Lonchura striata: one gene and its partners. The protein of the gene in region 4 purifies or fractionates together with the protein of the main gene of each other region. This does not show direct contact. Links are inferred from orthologs where the notes say so. Each region holds a gene or a part of one and is shown on either strand. Other genes may lie near its edges. The genes, in order: TNRC18, SAP30L, ARID4A and SINHCAF.

Region 1 (7,639 bases), on a different chromosome or scaffold from region 4:
CCATTGCAAACAGTCCCTTCCCTCCTTTATCCCTCTGCAAGGCCCATGGGGGGAGCACCCCGCTCCCCTCCTCGGGGATGGGGAGATGGCAATGCCCAAGAGTACAGGGGGGACAGGGAATGGCATCCCCGGCTCAGCTCCCGCCTTGGCCTCCAGCTCACTCCTCCCTCCTTGCGCTTCCAACAAAGGGGCTTCTGTCCCTGTCCTCCCCCCGTGGAGCAGAAATCGCTACCATGGAGCAGAAATCCCCCCGAGAGGAGCCGAGGGTCCAGGGGTCACTGGACACAGCCCAGGCGCCCGTACTCTGGCGCTGGGGCAGAGCCCGGCTGCCGGAATGAGCAGAAGGTACGGGAAAAACAAGGAGTCGGTGCCGGCCATAACTGGATTCTCAAATATGGCCAATAGTGCTATTTTTACAGGGGCGTATTTATTTTCAGAGGACGCTGGGACGGATTCAAGAGTCTCTTTCTTCAGCCCGGCGGTATTTACGGATCGGTTTGAACTGGCTCTATTTAAAGGCTTTGCCTCCTGCCCACTTTTCTTAACCCCTTGCACAAGCCTTTGCATTCCACCCCTCCTAAAAACAAAACAAACCCCTAAAAAAACACAACAACAAGGAAAAAAAAAACACCAAAACCACACACCAACAGCACTGCAAACGAAAAGCTACAAAGGGTGCCTTGGTAGCAGGAAGCAATCATCATTTCAGGCGATATTGTTAAAGCCGTAAAAAAACAACAACAAAAAAAATATCCCTGCCTATCCCACTGCTGCGGTTTAATGGGAGTTTCGGCTGTTAATTGTACAGATCCTTTTAATGGAGTTTAGCCTGACTTGGAATTGCCGTGACAAAGCTGAGCTTTGCGAGGATCGTGCCGGGGAGCGGATGGGGAGACCGGGCACCACTGAGGTGCAGGGACAGGCATTTCAAATAACTCCCAGAAAGAGGAAAATAAAAATAACTTTAAAAATAAAATAAGAACACAGTAAAAAAGAATTGGAAGTATAACACACTCCACTCCCTCTGTGAGGGGACTCAAATCTGAGGCTTTCTCCCAGTGTGGTAGGAAAGCTCCCAGACGGCATCACTGAGCTTGGTCAGCTTGGAGAGGCCAGAGCTCTGTGCCTCCCTCCTGACCTGCCTGGATTTCAGAAAAGGAAACCTTGGGAGGAGAAATAAAACTTTAAAAAAAATTACCCAGTGAAAAATAAGAGTAATTTTTAAAATTTCCAAGAACCCACACTCTGTTTGGCCTGAGATTGTCCAGATGCATTTTTGCTAAGATCACATTCAGCTGCAGTAGGAGGTGGAAGAGAGAGGAAAAAAAATAACCAGGGGGGGAAAAAAGGGAGGGAAAAAAAAGACAAAAGGGAAGGAAAAAATAAGGTGTTTGCCCATGTGCTTGGCTTCATAGCCCCGTTCGCTTTACACCTCTCCTCTTAGCACCTGGGAAATTGGCACTGCCACCTAGTCTAAAACTAATAAATCTTTTTCCCTCGATTCAGGCTGCTTCCTTCTCTGCAGATGTTGGCAATCAGGTTTGCAAATTTCAAAGTCATTCATCCCGGGCGGCTGGGAGAAAAGCAGGTTTATTATTGCAAAACCTGTCACCCTCCCAACGCCTAAAGTAAACTCCGAGTCACCTCTCCACGCCCAGGGGAAAGAGAGCGGAAAAAAAAAATTAAAAATAGAGCCAGAGAGGGAAATCAAACGGTCAGAAATCCCTTGTGTCCTCCTACAGGACTGTGGGCAGGAGAGAGCGGCAGCGTCCTCCCAGCAGTGCCGGACTCTGCGAGCCGCTGAGAAATGGAGCTCGGAAAAGGGGAAAAAAATGAAAATCCTCAAAAAAAATAAAGTAATTTAAACAAATAAATAAAAAGCTGACTGTGGGAAAAAAAAATAAACTGCGTATATTTCAGCGTCTAGTTTTTTGTTGGTTTTTTTGGGTTTTTTTTAATGGATATACAGCCGTGGGGACCCTAAGGATGAAGTGCGTCGAGAAGAGGGAAAAAATTCAAGGAAGGAGCAGTCACTGCACACTTGCATGGAAGCTTTGTTCGCGAGTTTAAAAAATAAGAATTTTGAAGGGAAAAAAAAATTAAAAAATAAAAGAAAAGAAAAAACAGCATCAAAACCAGCGGTGCCGGCAGCGCTACCCGGGGGCAGCGGGACCTCAGCGGGACTCGGGCTGCACCGGGCAAGAAATCACCGAAAGAGCCCCATTTTACCCCTTTTTCCCAGCCCAGGGATGGTTTTTTTTGGCTGTCCGGGAGCGCAGCGCCGGGCAGCGCAGTCCCGTCCCTCCGCAATCCTGTCTGCGCCTCTCCCAGCTTTCCCGAAAATCGGATTTATTCCCCGGATTTATCCCGCAGCCGCCGCGGAGGGGATTTTCCTCAGTGCCAACAAAACCGTACGCTGGAAGGGGGGACTTCTATCGGATAGGCGCGATTTTTTCCCCTATTCCCTTATTTTTTACTCCATTCTCTTATTTCTCCACCGTCACCCTATTTGTTTTCGTACTTCTTCCCCATTCCCCTAATTTTTTTCGCCAAATCAAAACCACGCGAAGCAGAAAACACTTGGGAGGGAAAACACGCGAAAAAGCTGCGAGCACATAAATGTATAATTATCCTGACGGTATTTATATTTTGGGGCGGTGGGGGGGGGGGGTTAAAGCCCGATCCCGGGTTCGCCGCCCGCGGAGGGAAGGCAGGGAAGGCGCGGGGGGTTCCGCGGAGCCTTACCCGGGTGGGAGTGGAGGCTGATGCCCGACGCGAGGAATTTTCCGGGCTGGAGGGCGGCGGGGAGCCCGGCAGCCATGGGCCCGGCGGCGGGGGCCAGGCGGCCCGTGGCTCCCAGGCGGTGGCTCTCCATGGCCAGCCCGGAGAGCAGCGGAGGGGGGCCGTGCACCGAGCGGGGGGGCCCGAAATCTCGGCCATCCATCATCCACTCGCCGGCTTCACGGAGTCTCCCGGATCGCTGTCGATGCCCGCCACCACCGCCTTCCCGCCCCCCCCCCCGCCCCCCACCCCCCTTCTCCTCCTCCCCCAAAAAATCAGATGGTTTTCAAAAATAAGGCGTCCAAGCGTCCCATGGCGCGGTGCAGGGAGCCAGCCCCGGCGCGGCGGTCTCGGCGCTGCCTGCGAAGGAGAAAAGAAGGGGGAGGTGCGGTGAGCCGACATGCCCCGACACCCCCCTGCTCACAGCCACCCCCAAAAATACCCCCCAAAACCCACCCTCAATCTTCCCGGAGTGGAGGATAGAAAAGGGGGAAAAAGCGGGGAGAAAAAAAAAAAAATCTAAGGAAAACTTGTGGCAAAAGGCAGGCAGAAAAAAAAAAACTAAGTACTTAAAAATAATATTTTAAGAATTTAAACTTTTGTCCCTAAGAGTTACATTTGTCACGGCCGCAGCCCCGGCCGGGCAGGGCAGCGCCCGCCCGCAACCCGGGACCGACCGGCGGGGACGCGGCACCGCACTTCGCCCCGGAAAACAAACACACAAATCCCAAAATAACAACAACAACAAAAAAAAAAAACCCACCCAAATATTTCTTCTTTTCCTTTCTTTCCCCACCTTTTTTTTTTTTAGTTCTTTAATTTTTTTTTTTTATTTTCCCCCTCTTTTCTTTATTTCTCCCCCGCCGCCGGCTCCGGCGGCGGCATCTCTCCGGCAGCCGAGTTTCTCGCTTCTTTTGGAGCTCATTCCCACGGCTCCAAACCACCGACTGGGCTTGTTGTTTAGGTTGGGGTTTTTTATTTTTCCTTTCTGCAGCGCCACTTTCACTCGGGAAAACAAAACCCGTATTAACGTTTCCCGGCACAGCTTAAAAAAACCAAAAAAAACCAACCCAACCGTATACATAAAACTATCTATATTTGTACTCGCAGCCTGATGAAAGGCTCCACTCGCCCGCTGTATTTTGTATAGCGAGAAGTAACAAACAATGCGTGGATAAAGTGGAGGTTCTCCCCCTCAAACCCTCTCCAAGCGCTACCGGAGCCCCGGGAGCCGCCGCTCCGGCCCCGCCGCCCGTCCCGGCTCCCGGGCGGGTGCTCCAGCGCGGGGGAGGAATGATTAAAAAAAAAAAAAAAAAAAAAACTAAAACAAAGGAAAAAAAGAAATAAAGAAGAGAGAAATGCTAAATCACAAAATTCTACCCCCAAAAAAATCTCACTGCTTTGCTTTGTTGGGGGTTTTAAAAAATTATTTTCGAGTGGATTCTAAAATTAATTAAAGCCTGCCTGCGTGGCTGCTCGGGGCGAGCCGCACCCCGAGGGCTGCGGGAGCGGCCGGATCCCGGCTGGAAAGTAATCAATAATGGGGGAAAAAAGCTAAAAAGGGGGAAAAAGCGGGAGGATGCGGCGGAAGAGAAGGGTCGGGGGTGGGGGGAGATGGGACCGCCGCCCCGGGCTCGGGGTGCGGATCCGGGTGCGGGTCCTACCTCGGCGCGGTCAGGCCGCCTGGTCGCGGGGCATGGCGGCGGTGCGGGGCTGGGGCGGGGGGTGCCGGCTCGCCGCCCTGCCCGCCGCCCGGCTCCTCCGCTGCTCCGCTCCGCTCCTCAGGGGCAGCAGCGCGGGAGCGACGCGGTGGCGGCCGCGCCATGGAGCGGCGGGGCCCCGCCGAGCTGCAGCATCGCCTCCACAACCCCCCCCCCCTTCCCGGGCCGGCCCCGCGCGCGCGGCTCGGCGGCGCTTAAGGGAAGAGGAGGGAAAAAAAAAAAAAAAAAAGAAAAAAAAAAAAGAGAGAGAGAGGAATAAAAAAAAAAATTAGGGAGGGAAAAAAAAATTATTAAAAAAAAAAAAAAGGGGAGCGCGAGCGCGGGGCGGGAGGGAGGGAGGGAAAAAACGGGGGAATGGGGGAGGGAAAAACGGCGGCGGCGGGGCTATGAAACACGCATTGTTCTCGGCGCGGCGGGGGCGGGCCCGCGGCTGCTCTGCGCCTTCCCATTGGTCGGCCGGGCTGTCACTCAGCGGCGGGTAAACAGGCGGCTGTTTCCAGGCCCCCCGCTCGCCCCGCCCCCGGCGCTCCCGCTGCTGTTTCCAGGCCGCCCCCGCGCTGCCGCCCGGAGCGGGCGGGCGGTTGGCGGGAGCGGCCGCGGGTCCCCGCTCCGAGCGGGGCCGTGAGGGGGGAGCGCCCCGCGACCCCCTCCATTATCTGTGGGGTTAAATCCTTCATCCCGCCCGGGCAGGGCTGAGGGGGAAGTGCCGCCGGGCCCTCTCCCACGGCCCCGCCGCGGACAAAGCGGCCTTTCAGGGCCGGGGGGGAGCGGGGGAGGGTCCCCTGCCCTCCCTGAGGGCCCCGCCTCCCAAAAAATTCAAAAATAGGGTGAAAAGGGACGCTGGGGGAGGAGACATTGACACATTCCCCCCCTCTGGATTGTGAGTGGGGCGGCCCCCCCTGCACTGCCACACTAACTTCTACTTTTCTTTCCATTTTTTTCTTTTCCTTTCTATTTTTAATTTATTTTTCTCCCCCCCCCCCCAATTTTTGATGTGTTTTTCCCTTTCCCCACTTCTTCCCCTGGGAGAAGTGGGGGGGAACACCTCACGGCTGCCAAACCCCCCCGCTCTTTTCCCGCTTCTTTACTTAATCAAACAAAAATCGGCTTTTATAACGAAAAAGGAGAGGAAGGAAAATACAATCTAATTTAATCCGGTATAAATTAAAAGTAATAATAATAAAGCGTCCCCCCCCCAACCGCCCGGACAGGAGTTTCGAGGAACCCACCGGGACATCGGCCAGAAAAGAAGAGAAACAGCCCCAAAAATCTGCTCATTTTTAAACATTCCAAGCAAAATCGAGTTTGTCGAAAAGCTCTCACGCTGCTCAAGGCCCTGGTTTAACGCGAAAATAATCATAATAAATAACAATAATATATATTTATGTTTTTATTTATATTTAAGAGCAAAACTGCGTCAGAGGCGAGGGCTCAAACCCCGCTGCCTCCAAGGGGAGGGCGCTTCTTTTCCCAGTCTCCTTTAGTAAACCAAAAAAAAAACCAAAAAGAAACCGGGGGAATTGGGGGTGAGAGGGGGAGAAGGAAAAAAAAAAATAATGGTTTGATCGCTTTTATGTGGCTTTAAAAGCGTATTTTATAAATGTTTAATGCCTTCACGCCCGGACCTCCCCGCCGCTGTCCCCGGGCCGGGGGGTTGGCATATCATAAATCAGGGAAATGATAATAAAAAATAGAAAAAGCAGGTTCGGGCGGGGCGGGGGGGATCGGCCCCCCCTGCCTGCAACTCCAGCCCTTCCTCCTCCTCCTCCTCCTCCTCCTCCCCTTCCCCCGGCCGGGAGCCATCTTGTACAGCAGCTCCTGGCTGGGGCATCGCTGCTGCAAAACACCCTCAAAAAAAAAAAGAGTGAAAAAAAAAAGTACTTCCGACCTAATATACGCGTTTTTCTAATTATTATTGTTATTGTTATTGTTGCGATTATTCTCCCCTCTCCGGCGCGGTGCTGTTTCCCCGCTGTTTTCCACATGGAATCTCAGCCCCGCTTGTTTTCTCCCTATTATTTCCCCCACTGATCCCCCGCAACACCGCAATGGGGGGGCTGCGAGCTCCCCGTAAAATTTGGGGGGGATGGCGGCCGCTCCCACAATTTCCCCCCCGCGCCAAAGCTTTTCCGCAAGCAGCGCTTTCTCCAAAAATACCTATTTTTATTAAAAATAACATCGGGGCGGGGAAGGGGGGGGCGGTGGGGTGGGTTGTCCCGCGAGCAGCCGCACGGTGTTGTGGCCCCCCCCATTCCCATTCCCGTTCCCGTTCCCGTTCCCATCCCGATCCCATTCCCATTCCCATTGCCATCCCGATCCCATTCCCATCCCGATCCCGGTGCCCCGGGCTCCCGGCAAGTTCCCACGGTGCCGCCCGCCCCCGGGCCGCCCCCGTCCCCCCCGCACCCCCCTCCCGCCCGGCTCCGCTCCCTCCATCTCTTCCCTTCTGCTTTTTCCTTAATTTTCTTTTCTTTCCCCTTCTTCCCCTTCCCCGTCCCCCAGCTATTTATTCTCCATTTTGTTTTGTTTTGGCGTTTCTTCCTGGTTCGGTTTGGTTTGGGTTTTTTTCCTTCTTTTTTCCCATTCTTCCCTTCTCTCCCCTCCCCGGGCGAACCCGAAATTCCCGGTGGCCGCCCCCGTCCCGGTGCCCGCGGAGGCGGAGGGCAGCGGGCAGGAGGCAGCGGAGCGGTGCAGCCCCCAGCCCCACACCGGGCACTGCCCCCCGCTCCCGGGATGCAGGTAGGACGGGAAGGAGGAATTTGGGAGTGGGGGGAGCTGGGGGAGGCTCTCTGGAGACGTGGGAGGCAAAGCAAAGCGATGCCCTCCACCCCCAACACATCTCCTCCGTTTTGGGGGGCTGCCAAGGTGTGTGGGGGGGGTGGGGACACTCACCCCTTCATTGCCAACCCAGCTCTTGACTTCAACTCACAGACTGGGCACAGGCCCTGCTGCCGGACCCCCATCCCCATCTGCTGGGACCCCCAAAATCCCCTTTTTTCCCCCCACAATAAACCCCCCCCATCCCGTGCTCCCCATCCTTAGCTGGGGGGGGGTGCTGTGCATCCTTCCCGCCCGCTGTTTTTAACGTGCTTACTACACGTTTTCAGGGTGTTTTTGGAGCTATATTTAAAGCGTGC
Region 2 (6,904 bases), on a different chromosome or scaffold from region 4:
CCTCCACACAGGAGGTGTGTGCACCAGCTTTGCACCAAGACACAGCTTTGCTGGCAAAATGAATCTGGGTGGCTTCTTTTTTTTTTTTTTTTTAATTTCAGAAATAAACAGCTTTTTGCCAATAGGGTTGGCAATTCCAGCAGAGGGCTCTGCTGACTGTGGCCATGCTCTGCTTCTCTGAACATCACCTCTGCACAACTTTTGCCATGTCAACAGTACCAGAAACATCACTGAAGCAAGCGCAGCGCAGTGGCACAGAGAAAGTTCTCTAGCACAGAAAACTTCCCCCAGGCCTATCTCCTGAAAATAAAAATGTGTCACAAACTATTTAAAGGTAGTTTTAAATAGTGCTAAAAAATACCATATATGCAAATATCTGGAGCAGCTCAATATCCATGGGTATCAAATACCCAATCAAAGAGAGTGACCTATTGAATTCTGTAGTGTATTTGCAAAATGATGCATACTCATTAATAAGGAATTATGTAGGGGCATGAGACACCATGAAAAATAACTTATTTTTAGCCTTAAAAAAATAGTATCAAATACAATTTTAACTGTACATACACTAAGCTGTGAAGTTACCTTATCACACCTCTTTTTATAGAAAACTTTACATGGGCAAAGAACTCATAGGGGAATGAAGAAAATTAGGACACCACACGTCAGAAAAATCTCTTCCTGGAAAAGTGAAAGTAACTCCACAGCAGCTTCAATGGCCTTGCAATTTAAAATATAACTATTTTTTGATGTATGAGAACATCTAAGTGAAACTTCAACATGCTAAGAACTGGTAAAGCAGCCCACAAACCTCTGGAACATCCGTGTCGTGCTCAGGAGAGTCACCTCCATCATCGCTCGTCTTCCTCTTCCTTTTGTTCCGAACACTTTGAATGAAGTTCTTGTGAAAATCACAGATATACAGATGCCTCACCTGAGAACCAGAAGTGGTGAAAAAGCAATCAAAAAAGATACGGTGAAACAGCATTCAACAGCAGCCACTTTGACACCAGTGTCAGGTGCATCTCTCAAGACTGGCGTGACCGACTGACATCAAGGAATTTCTAATCTTAAATCCAGCCCTGATATCACACTCTTTATTCAGAGATAACTTACCTTACAAAGGCTAAAAGTAAAGAAAACAAAGAACTCAAGCTTCAGCTGAATTGAACCTCTACAGATAATAAATTTGTTTTTTATGGCTGCAATCATCTGTCAGGAAAAAAGATGGGTGCTTGTCTGGAGGAAGTGCATTTATTTCAGGACTTACTAGCAGGTATCTACCAAAACATGTATTATTCTATTCAATTCTTGTGAACTTTCTGGCTTGAATAATACAGAGGATTATTAAGGCAAGTGTTTCAAAACCTTGACAAATAAAACTTGAGCTGATCACCTCAACTAAAACAAACAGACCAAATGCAGAATAGCCTCCTTCCTATTGCTTGTTCAGCAATGGAACCTCCCTTTTAACAAATATAATCTCACTAGAGTTAGCAAAACAAAGGACTTCAAATGATCAAAATTATTTGGTGTCTATAAGGCAAAGTATCTTCAGATAACACAGGCACCCTACATCCATGCAGCCTGCTTTACACTTTCCCTTTGTTCTGACTGTACTAGTCTGATTTCCCCTTTTTGTTTCTAAAGCCTGGCATCTGTCAACAGAGACTCATTTCTAAAATGCAAGAAATTACTACGCCACTAGACAAATCTGCTGAGAACTACAACTGGGAGAAATGCTCTAGTTTTCAAGAATACGTTTCAAACTGAGTCACTTTTCCCGTGACACGATGCATTTTGGCTGTGCAGAAGGGACCCAACCAACTGGGGGAGCTGCCAAACAGACTGACTCAAAACTTCACCTATTTTTTTTTTGCTTTTGCTTTGTTTTCAGTGGTTTTGATCTTTACAGATCAGGCGAAAAAAAAAAAGCGTGCAGAGCTGAATTCCGTTAACGAAGTCACTTCTGAGAAATTCCTTCTGTGATCTGCTCTTCTCTGCCGGGCAAATAACCCGTTTCTATCTGGAGCTGACAGCTGTCAGTGTCATTAGGCAGCAAACCGGGCTGCTCCGTGTGCGAACAGACCCTGCTGAAGAGGCAGCACAGCTCACTGCCAGCTCGGTCTCTAACCTGCTTCGCCACAACACCAATTCTTCGCAATTAAAGAAGTAACGTCAGTGCCGCCTGACTGAAGCAGCAACCACAGCGCTGTTTTCACCTGACAGCAGCAGCCTTTCCAAGCCGAGACCGCAACGGGAACAGCACTCCTGCCTCCCAAGCACGGACAGCTCGCTCCTTTGCCTCCCTGCACACACCCGCCTCCCCAGCACGGCGTTCGGGGCTTCAGCTACGTTATGCCTCAGCAGGCGGGCAGTGCCACAGGGAAAAGCCGGCTCTGCACGGGGGGAACGGCCGGGTGCAGCCAGGCACGTCCTTCCCTTTATCCCGAGCTAAGGATCCTCCCCGTTATCCCGAGCTGTAGCGCTGAGGATGGGCGAGCGCGGTCCGCAGCTCCGCGTGTGCCGCGCCCGGCCCCGCTCGCCCGGGAGCTCAGCTCGCCGGGCGGATCCGCGTCTCCCCGGAGGCACCGCAGTGCGGTGGCGCCCGCAGCCGGCCCGGCCGCCCCTCCGGGGGGCTCGGCAGCGCCCGCAGCCCCGGCCGAGGCCGCACTCACACTTTTGTCGATGTCCAGCTTCAGCTTCTTCTGCGAGATGCTCTTCTGGATTCTCTTGCTGAAGGACGCGTTGCCGGCGGGGCGCACGCAGCGGTCCCCGTCGTCGATGAGGCAGCAGCTCTGGCCGTAAAAGGGGGCGGGGGGCGGCCCATCCCGGCTGTCCTCCTCGGTGCTGAACCCATTCATCGCCCACCTGCCCGCCCCTCACCCCGCGCGGGGAGCCGACCACCGGGGGACCAACTGCGGGGACGGAGCCGCCGTCACTACCGCGCCCTCGGGGGGACCCCGCCGCCTCCGCGGGGGCCCCCCGCTACGGCAGGGGAGGGGACCCCCCCGCCGCCGCCGCCGCTCAGCGCTGCCCGCGGCTCGGGCCGGGCCGGGCCCCCCAAGCGCCGCCGCCCGCGGGGAGCCGGGACCGCGCAGCGCTCGCACACACAAAACCGCCTCCCCGGCCGCGGAAGTCCCGCCCCCGGCCCGCAGGCGCGCCTCTGATTGGGCCGCGCGGCTGGAGGGGCGGGGCGCCCCGCGCCGCTCCGAGCGCCGATTGGCCGGCGGAGCTGTCCGTCCGCCGCCGGCGCCCGGCCCCCGCAGCCGGAAGGTCGCGGTGAGGGGCGCGCGGAGGGAGCGGCGGCGCCCGGACCGTGAGGGGACGCGGCCGCTCCCGGCGCTGTCCGCGGCCGCTCCCGGCGCTGTCCGCGGCCGCCGCGCCGGTGCCGCCCGCAGGAGGCGGGCAGCGACCCGGCCCCGCCGGCTTCGGGCTTGCCCTGCTGCCGGGACGCGCACGGGACAGCCGCACGCAGCCGGGGCGCCGCAGCCGCACCTGCAGCGCTCCGGGGACAGACCTGAGCCCGCAGCAGGCCCGGGGCTGCGGCTCCCCCCGGCCCTCGTACCCGACCCGGGTCGGCACAGCCACAAATGCGTGCTCTTGGGTCAGCACCCCGGCTGGAGTTCCTGGCTGAAACGTAGTTTTTTATAAGAAATACAAGACTCTTTTTTAATTTTTTTTTTTTCTTCCCCTTATCACAAGGCAGCGACAGTGAAAAGATGGGACCTGGAGAAGTGTTTCTCAAAGCCATGTGACTTTAAACTTCGCATTTTTCATCTTCAGAAAAAAAAAAAAAAACAAACCTAAAAAGAACTCTGAAAAAAAAAAAGACAAAACCCCCACCCTAACCCCCAAATCTCCCCAAAAATAAAAAAGGGGAGAAAAAAGGAGGCGAAAAGTGGGGGCGGGGTGGGGTGGCGGTAAAAAAATTGAATTCTTGCTGATTTGTGAAGAAAAGATGAAACTTCTGGAAATGCTGTGACTTCTGTAATACCAGACAGCAAATGCTATTCTCAGAGGTTCCTGAGCAGCTCTGAAAGGAAAACGATTTCATCTTCCTGAAGAAAGGACTTTCTGCTCAGACAGAAGAAAGGTTCTGTAGACTAAAATGACTTCAAAGCCTTAAATCCTGCACATGGAACAATGTGCGTGAGCTGTGCTGAATCACACAAAATACCTTTGCAAGAAAGAGACTCCTTAAAGCCCTTGGCCATCAGCTCAGGCTCTCCATGCAGTAATACTGCCAACCAGCTCTGCACAAGATTGAGAAAAGCCAAAATCTGTATTTTCCAGGCACTCCTTACAATACCAAACAAGCCTCAGAATAGATTTAGAGGGCAGAGACTTCATACTCCTCAACAGTTCTGACTCTTGTCTTGGTTTTTACTGCGGGTGCCCTCGGGCAATATGTAATTTCTGTTTGTGCATGTGACCAGCGGAGAACCACAGTGCACCCTCCTGGGGACAGCGGCCGTTCTCACGGGAAGCTGGTGGAAACGAATGACTTTACCCACAGAGCAAACAAGCAGTTAGCAAAGAGCCAAGAGATCTAAAACAGTAAAACACTACGGCTTATAAAAGCCCCAGATCAAACTGATTGGAATCTGCCTGCCTGAAGTAATATCCTCCTGGCAAAGCCATAGAGATAGTCCCTTGTTTTGGGGAAAGGGAAAACACCAAGAGGCTGACAGAGATCTCAGAGCTGCTGATAACAACCTTTCTGGCTTTATCTTAACATTACCAATAAAAATCAAATGGCTGGCTGAGGAAATCTTGCAGGATTATCTTGACACTCTGGAAGCCAAACCCACAGACTGTAGGGGCAGATGATAATAACAGCAAGCAAGGAGATAAAAGGGAACAAGCAGAATTTTTTCCTGTCCCCTTGAGGAGATTGTGCAGGTGCTCCCTGACTGTATTCTGGGAAGAAACAGGCACCCTAAGTGTCAGAACAGGCTGGTACTGACCATCAGATTATATTTAGTCTTGGGCTGCAACCGCTCATCTCTGCAGCTAAAAAGGTTTTAAGTCCTTTTGCAGTGCTCACTATGAGGAAAAACAGCTTTTGTCACTGTCTGTTTGCTAATTCGATGCTAATTACCTCCTTCTCACGCAAACACGATGACACCTTTTTTTCAGTCTTAAAAAAAAAAAAATCACAACCCCAAAACAACGAATGGAGGTGTTTTTATAATTGCAGTTTATTTCAGCATATTTATCCTCATGGGAACCTCCAGATTTCACAGTCTGCTAGTCTGGAACAAGCTTTCTGCAAAATAAACTGCCTCATCGAGACATTCTTTATTAGGTATCTATCACTAACCTGATCCAATAATTCTTTGTGGGAGCTGCAATGAAGTGAGAAACAATGTTTCATAAACCCATCAGTACCCAGGCAGCTTTAGTACCTCTGAAGCAGTAATAGCCTGGCCATCCCAGTCAGCCTCTAATCAAATTAGGGGAGCCTGTGCAGGCCTGTAAATCTTACCTGGAGCACTACCCTCTGAAGAGAAGTCAGTGGTGTGACTGTCATCTGGAACTTAGTATTTTAATGGAGTCATTCAGGGGGCTCAGGACAGAAATACTTCTCTCCTCATGGTCTGTGCTGCTTGAGATGTCCTGGGAAGAAGGTTTTTTTAAACTTTTCATCATCAGAAATCAGACCATTTCCTTCTGCAGTACCTTGGGGAGGCCAATGAAAACACTGCTCTGGCACCTTCCCCCAGACTCCCACTCTCCTCAGCACTTTTCTAGGGTTGCACATATTGAACCTGCTAAAATGCTTAAACTGTCACAGCTTTTGGCACATACTTACCCTGGGCAATGTTCCCGTGGCCAAGAATCACAGCACAGTCTTCCCTGGGGATCATGCCTTGCTGGTCCCCCAGAAAAGCTCCTTTTCCCACACACAGATTTTCACACATTTCATTCTTTGTCTCTCATCCATTTCCCCCCCAGTGTTCTTCACCCAATGGAGCTGAGTAAATAGGAGTATTGAGAAGGCCACTGAAGAAATGAAGTGGTGACAGTAGGAAGCGCTGAGGGTCCTAGTGGGAACATGAGCAATGCTGATACACTTCTCTCATCTTGGGCTGAGCCTGCTCTCCCCACCTGGAGATCAGAACACAAACAACCCATGAGCTGTTACAGCCCACCCCTGCAAACCAAGGGGTGGGGATGATCTCCCAGCAGTCACTCCCAAGGCCAGCAGGCAGAGAAAGAAGAGTCACAGCTGGGTTTTCTCCATTCCTCTGGGCTCCCCAGTGTGCCCTGCCAAGGCCAGTCCACCCCAGGGGTGTCCTACCTGGGCACAAGTCGTCCACTACAGTTGTGGTTCCTTAAGGATTGCACCACTGGGCATGGAGTGACAGGACACCTGTGCTGTGGAAACACCACACCAGGGCAGCTGAGTTTATTCTCACAAGTAGAAGAGAAACCAATCACTGGAGCAAAACAGGCGGGGACAGTCACGTCTGCGTACACAGTTTTCAGAAAACACATTAAAAATTTATTTTAAATATATTATAAAAGGAAGTCCATTCAACTTTAAAAACACTAGGCATTCTATCAATGATTCCCAATTTATGAAAGCTACTACATTAAAGTGCTACAAGTCCTTTACCACCCCCAGATATTAGGCTGTTGCTCCTAATACGCACAAAATAAATACACACTGATTCAAGAGGCACCATCCAGTTTTACAGAGAAATGCATGCAGTACAAGGTACAGACAAACTTAGACCTAATCACTGAGATCCTAGAGAATGCATTTTGAAACCAATTCCCTTCTCCACCCTAGAGGCTAAAGCTATTTGTTGCTGTTATTGTGAGGGCTAATGTTTCAGGCTGTTAGCTTGATCAGTTTTTATCTTGTTTTGTGGTTGAAGTTCACATTTGTTTG
Region 3 (6,897 bases), on a different chromosome or scaffold from region 4:
AGTCTTAAAGCACACAAAAACTTGGATATATAGTTACAAAAAGCAGCTTTCACCTCAATTTCTTGGGGATTTTGGGTCACTGATACTTATTTACATATCTTGGACAGCAGGCACTGAAGTAGGAAGTGGGAAGACTTTGACAAAACAAAGAAGAACAACTTCTGTATTTACTTTCAATTTTAACTTGCATTTAACAATGTTTTATTCTTATTCTCACATAGTGGCATTTACAACAGTATTACAACACCAAAATGACAACTTTCTCTTTTGGTTGTTTTTCCAGAAGTCCTGTAAAGGTGAATGAAAATTATGTTCCAATACTATCCATGCAGAGAAATTCAGCTACAGCCAGGGCATGCTGCTTTAGAAGCTGCATCAAGATGCTCAAAACTTAAATATTACCCTAGGCATGCCTAAAACCTGGCCTAAGAAACAAATTATTGCCATCTCTCTTGCTGTTGACTTGTTTTTGCATTGCCTTTTCAGTTCCAAACCGTAAAAGTGAGAGTGTCAGTCAGTATGAAATGGAACTTTTGCTTCTGAAGAGGATGATCTTATTCCTTATTATTCATGTAAAGCCATAATCCTGTATTTGTGACATGAAAACTTATTGCTGGGAAACTGATGCATTTGAAAACAGAAGACAAATGCAGTCAGGAAAAAAGAAGCAAGAAAGCTCATTTTTGTTCCAGCACCCCACTAAAAAATAAAATAAAAAAAACAACATTTCCCCCCAGAATGAAGCAAAAAAAAAAATCTCATCCTAAACTAAACAACAAAATATGAAAAAAACCACATTTAAGTGCTGTTTAAAATTCATACAGTGAAGTGATGAAGGTTTTCTAATCTTCAGGAGTAGGATCTCCTGTGACAGCCCTTTCAGCACAATGCTTTACCAAAACCAGCATCAGCCTCAGCACTCTCACCTTGACTTTCACAAGCCTTTTCACCGTCTTAATCTTTGCCTCGCAGAAGGCACCACGGTACTTGGCACTGACATCAGTCCCCACTGTCAGGTAGGCAGGCTCATCTGCTGCCTGGAGGGGAACAAAAACACAAAATCAAACTTTAGCTCTTACTTATTGTTACAACTGCATCAGGATGTATTTCATTTCACACCTTTTAGATCTGTTGTATTTTTAATTAATAAATTGTCTGTCCTTGAGATTGCCATTGCAGAGTTCTTCAAAAGGAAAAAAAAAAAACCTAACAAACAAGTTACAGGAAGTTTTGGTTTGTCACTGATGTTGACACACACCTCCTGTCAAATCATTGTCAAGACTCTCCCAGAAATGTTTCTGAGGGTATTCATTGATACTTAGGAGAGCTGCTTATAAAAAGGGCAACAAAGTGAAGGAGCAACTATAAATTCAAGTAGGTTCTGTGCAAAAGGAAAACATTGCAACTGCAAAAAGGCAATAGACAGCTGTATTTTTTCAGCAATAAGCTATCCAAAGACACAGATTATTTAAAACATTTGAGATTGGTGTCATCCCAACTTACAATTAAGTCTGAAACATTCTATTTACAGGATTTCTTTCCTGGTGACTAAAAGGAGACCTCTAGAGAAATCTGTTGCAATCTTTTAAACAGTTATTAACAATTATTTTTCTTTCCTGGAATGCCTTTATTAACATTTAATTGCCAGTGCATTTTCAAAGAAAAATATTCATCACGTTTTCCTTAACCTGGACTTTAATACTCAGCATTTCATTTACCGTGCTTATTGCAGCTGATAAACAAGGACAAAATAACAACACTGGAAATACAGGAAATGGGTGCAGAATCTAAAATAAAACGGGATATGTATGGGGTTTTTTTAATAACTTAATTATTTCATTCAACTCTGAAGGGAAAAGGAAAAGTTTTGTAAATTATACTGCAATTGTTGAGCCTTTGTACTGAGCAAACCGGCAACAGCAAAGGCGGGACAAAAGCTGTGGTTTTGCAAACTTGCCATAGCAGCTGCTGATACAGGAAGCGTTTAAAGACGGGAGCCCGAAGGACAACAACAACTCAGAGGCGATGAGGATGTTCCGAGCGCTCCTGCACGGCGGCGAGAGCTTTAAATCACCTGCACCTCGCCGGGGAGCAGGAACAGCACTCACAGCACGCACCGAACCCCGCGCTCTCCCACTGCTGCCGTGCCCGGGCGGAGAGCGATTAAAAATGAAATCTCCAGAGCGGCGGGCGAACAGGGCGGCGATCCCCGCTCCCGCCGGAGCCGCCTACCTTCATCTTTAAGGGTTATGTGAGCGATTCCAGCTCCAGGACTTCTCCTCGCACGGGCAACACTGCAAAACAAGAGCGGGGGAGGCTGAGGGCTGAGCGCGGGGCTCGCCGCGAGGGGCGGCGGGGGAGCCCGGGGAAGGCGGAGGGAGGGACGGAGGGAAGGAGCCGCCGCCCGTCCCGGCCGCGCCGAGGGAGCGCGGCCGCCGCTTCCCGCCGGGCGGCCCCGCGCTCGGTGTGTGTCACGTCGCCATTTGCTCCGCGGGGCTCAGGGGCCGCCGCCCCCCCAGCCGCCTCAACTTTCCGCGGCCCCGCCGGGCCCCCTCCTCCTCCTCCTCCTTCACCTCCCGGACTTGTGCCTCCCGCCGCCGCCCCGGGGCAGCGCCGCAGCCCCCCGGCCCAGGGAGCGCGGGGGCCGATCCCGGGGATACCGGGACAGAGTTGGGGGGTCCCGGTCCCGAGGGTCCCGCTCCGTGAGGGGGGCGGCGCGCGCGCCCGTGCGCTCCCACAGGGCGGGGGAGGGGGAGCGGAGGGAAGGGGGGGGGGGGGGGGTGTTTTAAAGCGCAGCTCCCGGAGCCGCTTCGCGTCCCCTCCCCCGGGACGGCGGCGCGGCAGCAGCAACTCCACGGCCACCGCCGCCTCTTCCTCCTTCTCTCCCTCCTCCTCCTCGCGCGTCCCTTCCTACCTGCGAACTCCTCGTTCCGCAGCCCCCGCGCCGCCCGGGCCCCTCCGCAGACGGCGGCGGCGGCCCCGGCTGAGCGCGGCCCCCGCTCCGCCCCCCCCGCTCTTCTCTCCCGCCCCCCGCCCCCCCCGCTCCGCGCGCGGACCCGCCCCGCGCCGCAGCGCGAGCCCCAATAAACAAGCGGCGGGAGCGGGGCCGCTCCCATTGGCCGCCGCTCCGACGCCCCGCGCGCATTGGGCCGCCGCGGACAGCACCCCCATTGGGTCGCGGCGCGGCCCCGGCCGCACGGGATTGGCGAGCGGCGGGGACCGGAAGGGCAACGGCGCGATGTGATTGGCTCGTGGCGGGACGGGCGGGAGGGAGGGGGAAGGACGGGCCGGGGGGCGGAACGGTGGCGGTGGGGGCGGGGCCGGCGCGCGCGGCGCGCAGGCGCGGCGGCCGCGGCGTCGCCGGCGCCATTTTGTGCGCGGCTCTTTCCCATTTTAGGCCGCGGGGAGAGGGAGGAGCGGGAGCTGCCGTGGGATCGGCGGAAGGAACGGCCGGGAGGCTCATCCTGAGGTCCGCTGAGGCGGCACCGCGTCTCTTCCCGGCTGTATGATCCCGTCGCTGCGTCTTGGTGGCGGCCGCGCTTGAGGCGGCGCCGGCGCAGGAGCGGGCCCGGCCGGAGGCGGAAGTGGAGCGGCCGCCATGGAGGCGCCGGGACCGCCCGCCGTGAGGGCGCGGAGCCGGCGGGGCGGCCCGAGCGCCCCGCAGAGACACGCCCGGGGTGCAGGTAGGGGCTGCCGGCCCGCGCCGCCTTCCCGCGGGGGAGGGCGCGGCTCCGCCGCCCTCCATCGTGCCCGTGAGGCGTGTGGGGAGGGAGCGCGGCCGGCTCCGGCTGCTCGGGCGCTTCCCCACGCTTCCCTCTGCAGGAAGGGTAGCCCGGACAGGGATGAGCAGCGCGGAGGAGGCTGAGGGCTTTTTTTGGGAGATGTGTGGGGGTGTTACCGTGTCTGGTCCGGGAGGTGCGGCCTTAAGAGGCGGGATACCCGCACCTGCCGGACTCATTTGAGAGAGTTGGATCTTAAAGAGGAGCTTTGACTTTATTAAGTAGGAGTTATAGGTGGAAGCCTGTGATAAAACTAAATGTTTTAAATTTCGTTTCACATTTTGGCATGTTATACAGAATTTATTCTGTGGCTTATGGTAATATAGATGCATATTTTTTACTCTGAAATAACAGATCCGTAGTTTATATTCCAATAGCAACTATTTGGCACTGCTCACTGTGAGCTCCAAGGTATCTCTCAGGGTTAGCTAAAGCAACAGCGGGGAAGCATTATGTTAATTTGACAGAAATATATGGTTAATTTAGGTATAGTTCCCATGTAAGTTCTGCTTTGAATGTGGCCTTTGTATTTATTTATTTTTTTAATTAAATCTGATGCTTTGGAAAGTGGCAGGTAATGGGAGAGTCCTTTAGGGAGTTCAGTGAGCAGAGGTGTGTGGTGCAGGTAAGCACTGAAGGTTTAATAAGGCACAAAGCACTCGAGACTTGTTTGGAATTGACTGCAGGCAAGGCAAGACATGGAGGAAAGGTCTGGAATTTTGGTGTTTGGATCTGGCTTATAAATATCAAGATGGTTGAAGGAAGATCTCTACAGAAAGTCTAAAGGTTGAGGCATTTAGTGTTGAGGGAGCTTTGATTCTATTCAGGAATAAACTGGAGAGTATCTGAGGGAACCTACAAGAGACCTGCGAGGGACTTTGGACAAGGGCATGGAGTGACAGGACAGGGGGAATGGCTTTGCACTGACTGAGAGCAGGTTGAGCTTCCATATGAGGAAGAAATTCCTGCCTGTGAGGGTGTGGGGCCCTGGCACAGGGTGCCCAGAGCAGCTGTGGCTGCCCCTGGGTCCTTAGAAGTGTCAAAGGCCAGGTTGGACACAGCCTGGAGCACCTTGGGACAGTGGGAGATGTCCCTGCCCATGGCAGCGGGGTTGGAATTAGATGATGTTTTTAAGGCTCTTTCCAACCCAAACCATTCTCTGATTCTATGACTTAGAATATGTTATGTCTAACCTAAATGTTAACAAAACTTCCAAAATTCCATTTGAATGTGAACTTCTGATTTCTCTGTGGAATGTGTTGGGAAATCCTGGCTTGGATTGTGAGCTTTCCTGAGGCATGGTTTGTATCTCTTTACTGAGTGTAGAACCATTCAATAAATAACAGTTTGTGATGGAACTAATCAGTCTTGTTTCTGATTTCTAGAATAAAATTTCTGCCACTGTGGATGTCTCAGTTACAGCCAGCACAATTAGGAGGCTCATGGCACGTCCCCCACCAAGCAAAAGGACTTTATTTCTGTTTAGCCAGTGAGCAGGAGCGGTGACTTATTCTTTTATGGTGTTTTAAATATCGTAAGAATGCCCAGTGGGCAGCTCAGCACAGCACAAATGTCCTCACACAGATTAAGGATGATGTCTAGTGTCATGGAATGAGAACACTGTGCTTTTGGCAAGGCAGGAAAAAAAGTCTAATTTTGGTTTAAATATCTTTTCATTGGAATAGGAACTTCAGGACTCAAGAGTTACTCCATGGTACTGCCATTTTTCATCCTAAATGTTAAGCAGCTCTGAAACTTGGAGCCATCCTGGCTGTACTGGATCTTTGCACTGTGCCCCATCCCCCTGTGCAAACCCTTACAGGAAAACTGGGAATGAGTGGAAGAAATGAGCAGAGAAGGTCAATTTGGTGAGCCTTTTTATCATGGCCTGGTGTGTTAACTGCACAGAGTTAACAGCTGAGAAGCTCTAGAGTGGGACAATCACAGTAAGTCCTTTTATGATCTAATCTCTCTGTAAACAGACATGCTGTGAGATAGAAACATTTCATTTTTTAGATCATTGTTCAGAGCAGCAGTACTTGGTTATCTGTACTTCGTTAGTACCAAAGGTCTTGTGGGTGCAGCATGGGAGATTTGCCTGGGGAGATGCATTTGAGCAAATTAAAGACTTCTTAATTTAAAAACAGTTAAAAGCATTAAGGCAGAAGGACAACACTGATCATTGGTCACCTGGAATTCTAAGTGATGGCTGTAAGTAAATTAGTAAAAATAATACACTTAAGCACTTGAAAATGTGTTTGGTGTATTAGTTGCAGAATATACTTATCCCAGAAATCTTGCCCAAAGTCTTCCATACATATAGCACTTGATAAGAAAAAGCAAATTTAGGAATGTCTGTATCTTATAGTTCTCTTTATAAGAACAGCAGAACAAGTAACTGTTGATGTATCACGTGGCTTCCTTCAGATCACAGCTAAAGAAGATTTCTGGGATAAGTGAGATGGTTTTATTCTGTTCAGTAATCACATACTGCTCTTGACATACTGGATTTTTTTATAGATAAAAGAACTCAGAATACACATACAATTGCAGCCAAAATACTGTAGAAACATTAAAAATATTGGATCTTAGTTTAACACTGAGCTTCTTTCTATGTAGTGAAGCAAAGTGCTACTCTGTCATACTTTGCAGTTCTTCAGGAGACTTAGCTTTTATTTCTGCTTCCATTGTTCTTTTTTTAATGTTCTTCCTTTTGGTGTTTCTGTAGTTAAATAGGCAACACTTCTGCAGATCCTCTGTCTATGTGGAACTGCAGTATTTCTGTACAAATTAAGGTCACAAAGCTTTATTATCTAAATGATTGCAAACTGCTCAGAAGAGCATGGCAACAAGCTATGAAGTGCAGGCACAAAGAGAAAAAATCCCAATAAATGTGAAGTTGACAGCAAAAACCTTCAGCCGGTAATAGTTAGATTATAAAAATGGAAGATCAAACCTTTCTTGGTCACAGAGAAAATTGTGCTGCACTGTTAAACTATCAGCATTAAGTTCCTTCATTTTTATAATTATGTGTGTGAGAGAAGGGAATAAAACCAAGTTTTTCATCAAGAAACTTGAATGAAACCTGTTAAATGCTTACTTACGTTTTCCCCAGCTC
Region 4 (7,401 bases):
TAATGGTGTCTTCAAATCGCCTTAATATAAATCCCCATAGAATAGTCTTACTGGCTTTAATAGGTATGAAAGCAATAGTGCTGCAAAGAAACCAACAGTGCTTGAGAGGCTGCATTTAAGGTGTTTAACCAGCAATAAAAAATGGTCATTTTGCTCTAGAATTTGAGGAATCCGTAAGAATTTAAGAGAATTATCTTCCTCTTAAGGAATTTGAAATGTCAATTTAAAACATTTCAGAAAGGTTATTATTCTCTGTTAAGCCCTAATGGATTTCTTAGGCTGGGCTATAAATGATCTGCCTTGTTCCTTGGAGTAAGCCAGTTCAGGGTCCTGTCTCTCTGAGCCTCATAGCTTGAATACTTCATTCTGGAAGCATGAATATCATAATATCAATTTTGATTATCATCAAACTTTGCTGTAATTTTTTGTAGCCATCTGTTATTTGGCCTAGAACATAAAATGGTGAAAATCCCTTTTCTTTTTTAACCTGCTTGCTCAGAACTACCAGTTTTTAGAGCACTTGTGCCTTCAAAAAATTAGCATGATGCTACTTACATGGGTAACTGGTGAAAGCAGAAGCTAAAGAACTCATTTGTTGATGGTATCTTGCTCTGAAATTGTACTCCTTGGCAAAACCTTATTTACAACTCTTTCAGCACTTCCCCCCCCCCCCCTTAAAAAAACTCCTGGTAATTTTTTTGAAAATCTTTTGGCCAATCACTAAGCCAAGAAAGTAAATTTTCAAATTACTCAAGTTACAAAAAAGAATTTTACAATTTGAAACAGGAACAGTGGCCTGGGTTTTTTCTTGACAGCTGCTCTTCACCTAAAAACAAGTAGCCTATTTGTGTTTACTTATTCATTAATATTGAAAAATAGCACAGTGGGATCAGATGTCTTGTCTGGCAAATGCCCTACTTTTTCTCTATGTTAGCACTTCTCCCTCATCATCGATACATTTATGTTTTAAAAGCCCTCATGGTTCACTTTATTATTATTACTATTGATATAATTTAGCTTCCCAGATAAAATAATTAAGAGTCCAGGCAGGGAAGGTACCAGTTTAACTGGAACACAGCAACAGTCCAATTAGTTTCCAGATGCACTCTTAAAGTAAATGTTTTTTAGAACTGATCTGGATGAAGATAAATCCTCATAAAGCTCATATTCAAGGTCACCTGGGATCTCTGTGAAATCCCACATTCCTCCTTTATAGCAAGCTCTGAGTGGAAAGGAAGATGCTTGATTTTTTAAAACAGAACCTTGTGAAATAAGGCTTTACCTGTAGTGTAAGGATGCATGCATTGTTTCAGATATCTACATTTTCCAAATTAAACTTCCCAGATTTGTCCCAAGTTGGAGGTTATTTTTCATCACCCTCTTTCCAAACAGTGAGGTCAGACAAGGTGTCCCTCTGATGCTGTGGAGAGCACACATGGCTTGCTCGAAGGGAAGGGGCTAGGGAAACCTTGGTGATGATCATCAGGTATTTGAGTGCCTTTTATTTATTTGCAAGCTGGCTATCAGCCAAAAATGAAAACTCAAACCACTGTTGAGTTACCAGCATAGCCCTGAAATATCATCAGCAAACACTTCAGGGGAACCAGAGATGTTTCAGAAATGAATGTTGGATCATGTTTTTCATTTCTGTGTTGCCATTTGGAATTCTGTGGATAGAAGGGGTGTTTTTTTCCTCTGAGAGGACAGGAATGACAGACCTGTTCACAGGCTGATCAGCACCAAATTTGGAAATTCAAATTCTCCCCAGGTTACAGCAACACCTGTCCTCACGAGATTTGGAGTGGAAGGGCACAAAGTTGTGAAATAAATACCAGAGAAGTTGTCCTGACCCTGGTTTGTTTGCAATCAAAGCCCACCCTGAGATGTTCTGTGAATGCTCAGCAGGATGGTAATGAGGGCAGCAATTGATTGGCGCCAAGAGATCCATTTTGTTCCATTGGGTTCTGCTTGATATCTTAGGGAATTCTCCTTGGAAAAGTAATTTCATTGTCACTTGGGATTTAAATGCTATACTAGATGGTGTTGGACTAAAAGGAATGTCACCAAGCGGCCTTGAGAAGTGTGCTAGAACAAAGAAATGAGAAAATCTGGGAGAAACACTTCTTCCAATCAAAAAGAAAGAGGCAGATGAAATCAAACACATTGTATGTAAACAAAATTTGCTAAGTGCTGGTAGAGTTTCCTAGACCAGTTAAAAGCAGTAAAATTATAGAAATATTTGGAGAAATTATTCAACATTACATACATCTGTGGCTCACAAGTTGAATATTATTTGGTTTAGCTGTGTCTGGAAGAAAGCCCTGGTAGCAGATGCAGCACTCTTTGATCATTCAACAGGAGCCCCCCAAAACTCAAATGACAACCTGGAGGGTTCCTTGGGTGGTGTTCTCCTGTGCTTTGTGCCCAAAGTGATTGGATTGGCAGCACTGAGGAAGGAGATGGGGTAGTATTACCATGGATTTACAAGCAAGTAGAGAAGATGTAAGATCCTCAGACAAAGGTAAGGAAAAGTATCTTGTCCAACTCTGAAAATTCCCAGAGCTTAGCTAGTCTAGTTGTTGGAAGCAAAAGGATAATTTCAGCAAAAGTTCTTGGTGAGTTGTTAAATCAGGATTAGTCTGAAACGGTCACTGTAATGAAAAAAAAATTGTTATAGAAATATTCATTGGCATTATTTCAGTGTTTTAGAGTATTCAACAACACCTGCATGTGGTGCCTGAACTGCAGTTGATTCTGTGGGAACTTTTAAACTTTTAAGTAGTTCAAAAGAAGGGAATCCTTATTTGGGCTCGGTTTGAGTGGCAGCCTGGGAGGGAGTAGCTCGCAGCTTTATTGCAGTCACGGGCTGTAATGGTGCTAAGTCATAACTCCTTAGGTGTTACCTTGTATATCACATGCTAATTCGTCTGACACAGTTCTCAAAGAAAATCTATTTCAACATAACCTGCCAGCCGCCTCGTGAAGCAGCTCTTCCAAAATTGCACAAAAGACCCTGAACCCAAAGGCTGAGATGACGCAACTTTTTAATTCACTCATTGTGACGCTGCAGGAAAAATTACATAAGCCACTGATGACTTTTAAAGCACTTTAGAAAACGAACGTTAAAATTAACCCGGAGCGGGAAAAAAACTCTTTCCGTGTTCCCTGCGACGCGCCCCCCGCGAGGTTCGGTGCGGAGAGGCAGCGATGGCCACAAACACCGCTAGGTGCGGTGGGGATGGGACGCGCCGCGCTGGGAGGGGCGGCGTGTCACCGGCGTGTCACCGGCGTGTCACCGGGGGTGGCAGGGTCGTGTTGCGGGGCTGTGTTTGCGGCGATGTTCGGGGCTGTGTTTGCGGGGCTGGGCTATGTTTGTGGTGATTTTCGTGGCTGTGCTTGCGGTGATGTTTGGGGCTGTGTTTGTGGTGATGTTTTGGGACAGTGTTTACGGGGCGGTGCTCTGAGTTTGCAGTGATGTTTGGGGCTGTGTTTGCGGGGCTGGGCTGTGTTGCGGTGATGTTTGGGCTGTGTTGCTGTGATGTTGGGGCTGTGTTTGCGGGTCTGGGCTGTGTTGCTGTGATGTTGGGGCTGTGTTTGCGGGGCTGGGCTGTGTTGCGGTGATGTTGGGGCTGTGTTTGCAGGGTTGGGCTGTGTTGCAGTGATGTTTGGGCTGTGTTTGCGGGGCTGGGCTGTGTTGCGGTGATGTTTGGGCTGTGTTTGCGGTGATGTTGGGGCTGTGTTTGCAGTGATGTTTGGGCTGTGTTGCGGTGATGTTGGGGCTGTGTTTGCAGGGTTGGGCTGTGTTGCAGTGATGTTGGGGCTGTGTTTGCGGGGCTGGGCTGTGTTGCGGTGATGTTGGGGCTGTGTTGCGGTGATGTTGGGGCTGTGTTTGCGGGGCTGGGCTGTGTTGCGGTGATGTTGGGGCTGTGTTTGCGGGGCTGGGCTGTGTTTGCGGGGCTGGGCTGTGTTGCGGTGATGTTGGGGCTGTGTTTGCGGGGCTGGGCTGTGTTGCGGTGATGTTGGGGCTGTGTTTGCGGGGCTGGGCTGTGTTGCGGTGATGTTGGGGCCGTGTTGCGGTGATGTTGGGGCTGTGTTTGCGGGGCGGTCCCGCGGGGGCCGTTCCGGCGCCGGGCGGGGCGGCACGAGGCAGGTGCGGGGCGGGGGCGCGCGCCGCGCGCGTGAAGTCACCTCCGCCGCCAGGGCGGGCGCCGCCCCCGCGCGCGCTTCCCGCGCGGCCCTTTCTGCCTTAAAAGGACAACGGGGCGCGCGCGGCCGGCGGGGCTCGATTGATGAGAACGGAGCCGTGGGAACGGCGCCTGCGCAGAGCGGCCGAGGGGCGGGAGTGGGGCGGGGCGCGGGCCCGCGGGCTCGCGCGGCGGCAGAGCGCGGGGAGACGGGGAGCGCGCGCAGCGGCGGGAGCGCCGCGCACCGCACGGGTGTCGGTGGGCGCAGCGCGGCGGTGAGTGATGCTTCCCTTTCTCCCGGGCGGGAGGGAGCGGCGGGCTCAAACTGAGTTTCGTGGCTGCTTGTTTCGCGTTCTTCGGGGCGTCTTTATTATTTTTCCCTTGTTTTGTTTGCTTGTGGTGGGTTTCCTTTTATTTAATTATTCTTCTTTTGGTGCTGGGATTTATTTTTTTTCCGCGAGCTGGTGGTTTCTGTTCATTCCGAGTCACTCCTCGGAGCTTGTTCCCAGTTTTGCAGCGGCAAAAAGACTTTGCCGCCTTGAAACACTTTGACATGCGTGTGGCTTCTGTGAGCGGTGTTTCGCCCGTTTTTTTTCTTCGATTAGTAGAGTTTTAAAGGATGCGCGAGCGGAGAGGAGCGCCTCCCGCATTGTTGCGGACCCATCCCTAGAACTCTGATTTCGCCCCCCCCCCCCCCCCCCCAATCCCCCCCAATCCCAAAGTACAATTAGATCTCCAAGTCTTTAGGAGGAAAGAGTAGCCAGATCCCCATAATTTAACTCCGAAAGCAGTCCCAAGGTGCGGAGCGGGTTTGGAAAACCGGGCTGCTTGGCGATGACGGGGGCTGCAGGGCAACTTTCCCGGGCCGTGGCTACCCCGGCCCGCCACGCGGGTGGCGTGGCCCCGCCGGTGCGGAGCGGGTGCCGCAGGTGCGGCCCCGGCGCGCCCCGCAGCGCACACCTGTAGCGCTCGCTCATGAGTTGGTGCCAGCGGCGTGGCGGAGGAGAGGAGGACACGCTGGTGCCCGCCATCCCTCTCTCCCCGTGTTTCACGTGGGGAGAGTGGGGCAGTTCTTATTGTTTCCAGTTATCATTAGTAATTGCGCGGGAGTCCGAGTCCGTGCACGCTGCAGAGGAGCAAAACGCGCGGCCGTGGGCTGGCGGGACACGTGTTGTCGGTCGCACCGGTCGCGGTGTGGGGCCTTCCCCGTCCTGCCCCCGGCCCGGTGCGCGGCGTTGCTGGCGTGGGGACGGAGCGGCGACGATGGCGTCCTGCCGCTCCGTAGCTCGGTGCCAGCGCAAGCGGCTCCCGTTCCTGCCGGCGTGTGCCCGCGCCTGGCGCCAACAAGTTCTAACTCGGGGCTCCGGGGGCTGCGCAGCGCCGGGCGGCGGGGCGGGCGGCGTGCCCCCGGCGCGGCACGTAGGCAGCGCCCGGCTGCAGGGAAAACAAAGGGCTCGCATGTGCTGCGGGCGGCGCGGCTCCCCGGCGCGCCGGGGGAAAGCGCTCCTCCGCGCCCGGCGGGGGCTCGGCTCCGGGCTGGCGGGTGTCGCTGGGGTAACACTTGTCGTGCGCGGGACGGTGTTTTTTAGGGGCTGCCTGCCGATTTTGGAGGAGTTTGGAGGGGCGGGGAAACTTTGGATGCAGGCGCGCTCCGCACGGAACCGCGCTGCGCGCACGGCTCTGCGGCCGGCGGGCGGGCAGGCCCGGGCGGCCGCCCCGGGGCTGCCCCCGGGTCTGGGGGTCCGCGTCGCCCCCGTCGCGGCGTGCCCGCGTTGCCGGGAGGTCTGCGACGGCCCTTTGAAGTGAAACTGTTGCCATGTTTGAATTACGTCAGGGCCGAGCCATGAGGAACCGGCGCGGGGCGGGCGGGGAAGGGCGGGGGGCGGCGGGGCACGGTCGTCGCTGCGCCGGAACGGGGGTCCGGGTGCTCGGCGGTGCGGCCGCGGCTCCATCCCCGCTTCTCGCCGCTCCCCCCGCGCCGGATGGGGCGGCTGCTCCGCGACCGCGTGGTGGGGCGGCGTTTGCAGCGCGGGGGCCGCCTCGCAGCGCCCACCTCCGCGCTCGGGGCTTTCCTCCCTGGATCGCCGCCTTCCCCTTCCTGAGCTCTTCTAATTTATTTTTGATTTCACTCGTCTTTCGGCGACTTGAGCGCTTGGCAGCCCCACGCGGGGGGGGTGCTGCGGCCACCCGCGTGTGCGCTCCCGCGGCTCCACCTGACCGGCGGGGCCGCCCGTGAAAGTAGGTCGTGTGCCCCGGGGGGTCTTTGTTCCCGGCCCCGGCCGCCGCTCCAGCCGCCGGCGCTAACGGGGGAGCGGGGCCGTGCCCGGAGCCACGAGGTGCCCTGCGGGAGCGGCGCGACCGAGCTCTGTCTTTTTAAGCGTTTTTTACCGTTGTTATTTAGGGTTTGGCGGGTTTTTGTTTTGTTTTAATGTCGCAGTCTTGAGCCATGAAAGCGCTCCCCGTTGCGCTCTCACTTTGGTGAGGTAAAAGTTGCCGTCTCCTCTCCTACCCCTGTGTCCTGGTGTGTGTAGCTGAAGGGATTTAAAGGGACCTGCCAAACCTGTTGTTTACTCGGGCTGTCCCCGTACGCAGCGAACAGGGCTGAATCCCTCCTGCCCCGGAGCCCCCCCACCCCCAGCGATGCTTTCCTGGCGGGAACGGCCTCGGTTCATCCTACAAAGAGCCTTTTCCCCTGACTGATGGCCCGTCCTTCGGACCTACATTATTCAATTAACATTACAATTGCAAAAATCTTGGGAGCTGCCTCCCGGCGCCGTGGCTGTGCCGGCAGCCGCTGCAGGCTGCTGATGCAGGATGCTGCCCGCTGCCGTGCCCTGAACACGTGTCTGGGCTGGAGGCCGGGCCGTGCCACCGTCCCCTCGTGGCTGGGGAGCGGCAGCAGGGCCAGCGTCCTGCACTGAGCCCACAAGTGCAACAGCAGTGCGATGCTGTTTTTTACTTGGAGTTTTAATTTGGCGCTTAGGAAGGTAGCAGGCTGACAGCCGTGCACACAAGTGTTTCGCTCTTTGGATAAGGCAGTCGGTAAGGGTGATGGCTCCTCCACCAGCTCCTTTACTGCTGTGTGCTTGCTTCCAAAGCTGAGGCTGCTCCTGGCAGCCGTGTGCAGGGTGTGTGCACCCCCTTCTCACCAGCCCGCAGGCAGACAGATCCGCTGTGTAGTTGACAGCTTTTTAAAATTAAAGATTGCACAAACTTG

What was found.
Region 1: the proteins of SINHCAF (region 4) and TNRC18 purify together in Homo sapiens (affinity purification with mass spectrometry; 3 studies listed by BioGRID and IntAct, counting the BioPlex papers as one, with this or other methods). This does not show direct contact. The link is inferred for Lonchura striata from reciprocal best matches to the Homo sapiens genes SINHCAF and TNRC18.
Region 2: the proteins of SINHCAF (region 4) and SAP30L purify together in Homo sapiens (affinity purification with mass spectrometry; 3 studies listed by BioGRID and IntAct, counting the BioPlex papers as one, with this or other methods). This does not show direct contact. The link is inferred for Lonchura striata from reciprocal best matches to the Homo sapiens genes SINHCAF and SAP30L.
Region 3: the proteins of SINHCAF (region 4) and ARID4A purify together in Homo sapiens (affinity purification with mass spectrometry; 3 studies listed by BioGRID and IntAct, counting the BioPlex papers as one, with this or other methods). This does not show direct contact. The link is inferred for Lonchura striata from reciprocal best matches to the Homo sapiens genes SINHCAF and ARID4A.

Annotation. Positions count from the first base shown.
Region 1 is NC_134618.1:14,607,443-14,615,081, forward strand, and holds the start of TNRC18 (trinucleotide repeat-containing gene 18 protein), read right to left. Parts: upstream 3,004-7,639; 5' UTR 2,948-3,003; coding exon 2,746-2,947; intron 1-2,745.
Region 2 is NC_134617.1:5,247,883-5,254,786, forward strand, and holds the start of SAP30L (histone deacetylase complex subunit SAP30L), read right to left. Parts: upstream 3,016-6,904; 5' UTR 2,865-3,015; coding exon 2,679-2,864; intron 935-2,678; coding exon 812-934; intron 1-811.
Region 3 is NC_134608.1:4,704,372-4,711,268, reverse strand, and holds the start of ARID4A (AT-rich interactive domain-containing protein 4A), read right to left. Parts: upstream 3,013-6,897; 5' UTR 2,915-3,012; intron 2,295-2,914; 5' UTR 2,239-2,294; coding exon 2,233-2,238; intron 1,038-2,232; coding exon 927-1,037; intron 1-926.
Region 4 is NC_134607.1:17,964,054-17,971,454, forward strand, and holds the start of SINHCAF (SIN3-HDAC complex-associated factor), read left to right. Parts: upstream 1-4,389; 5' UTR 4,390-4,459; intron 4,460-7,401. UniProt on the Homo sapiens protein: Subunit of the Sin3 deacetylase complex (Sin3/HDAC), this subunit is important for the repression of genes encoding components of the TGF-beta signaling pathway.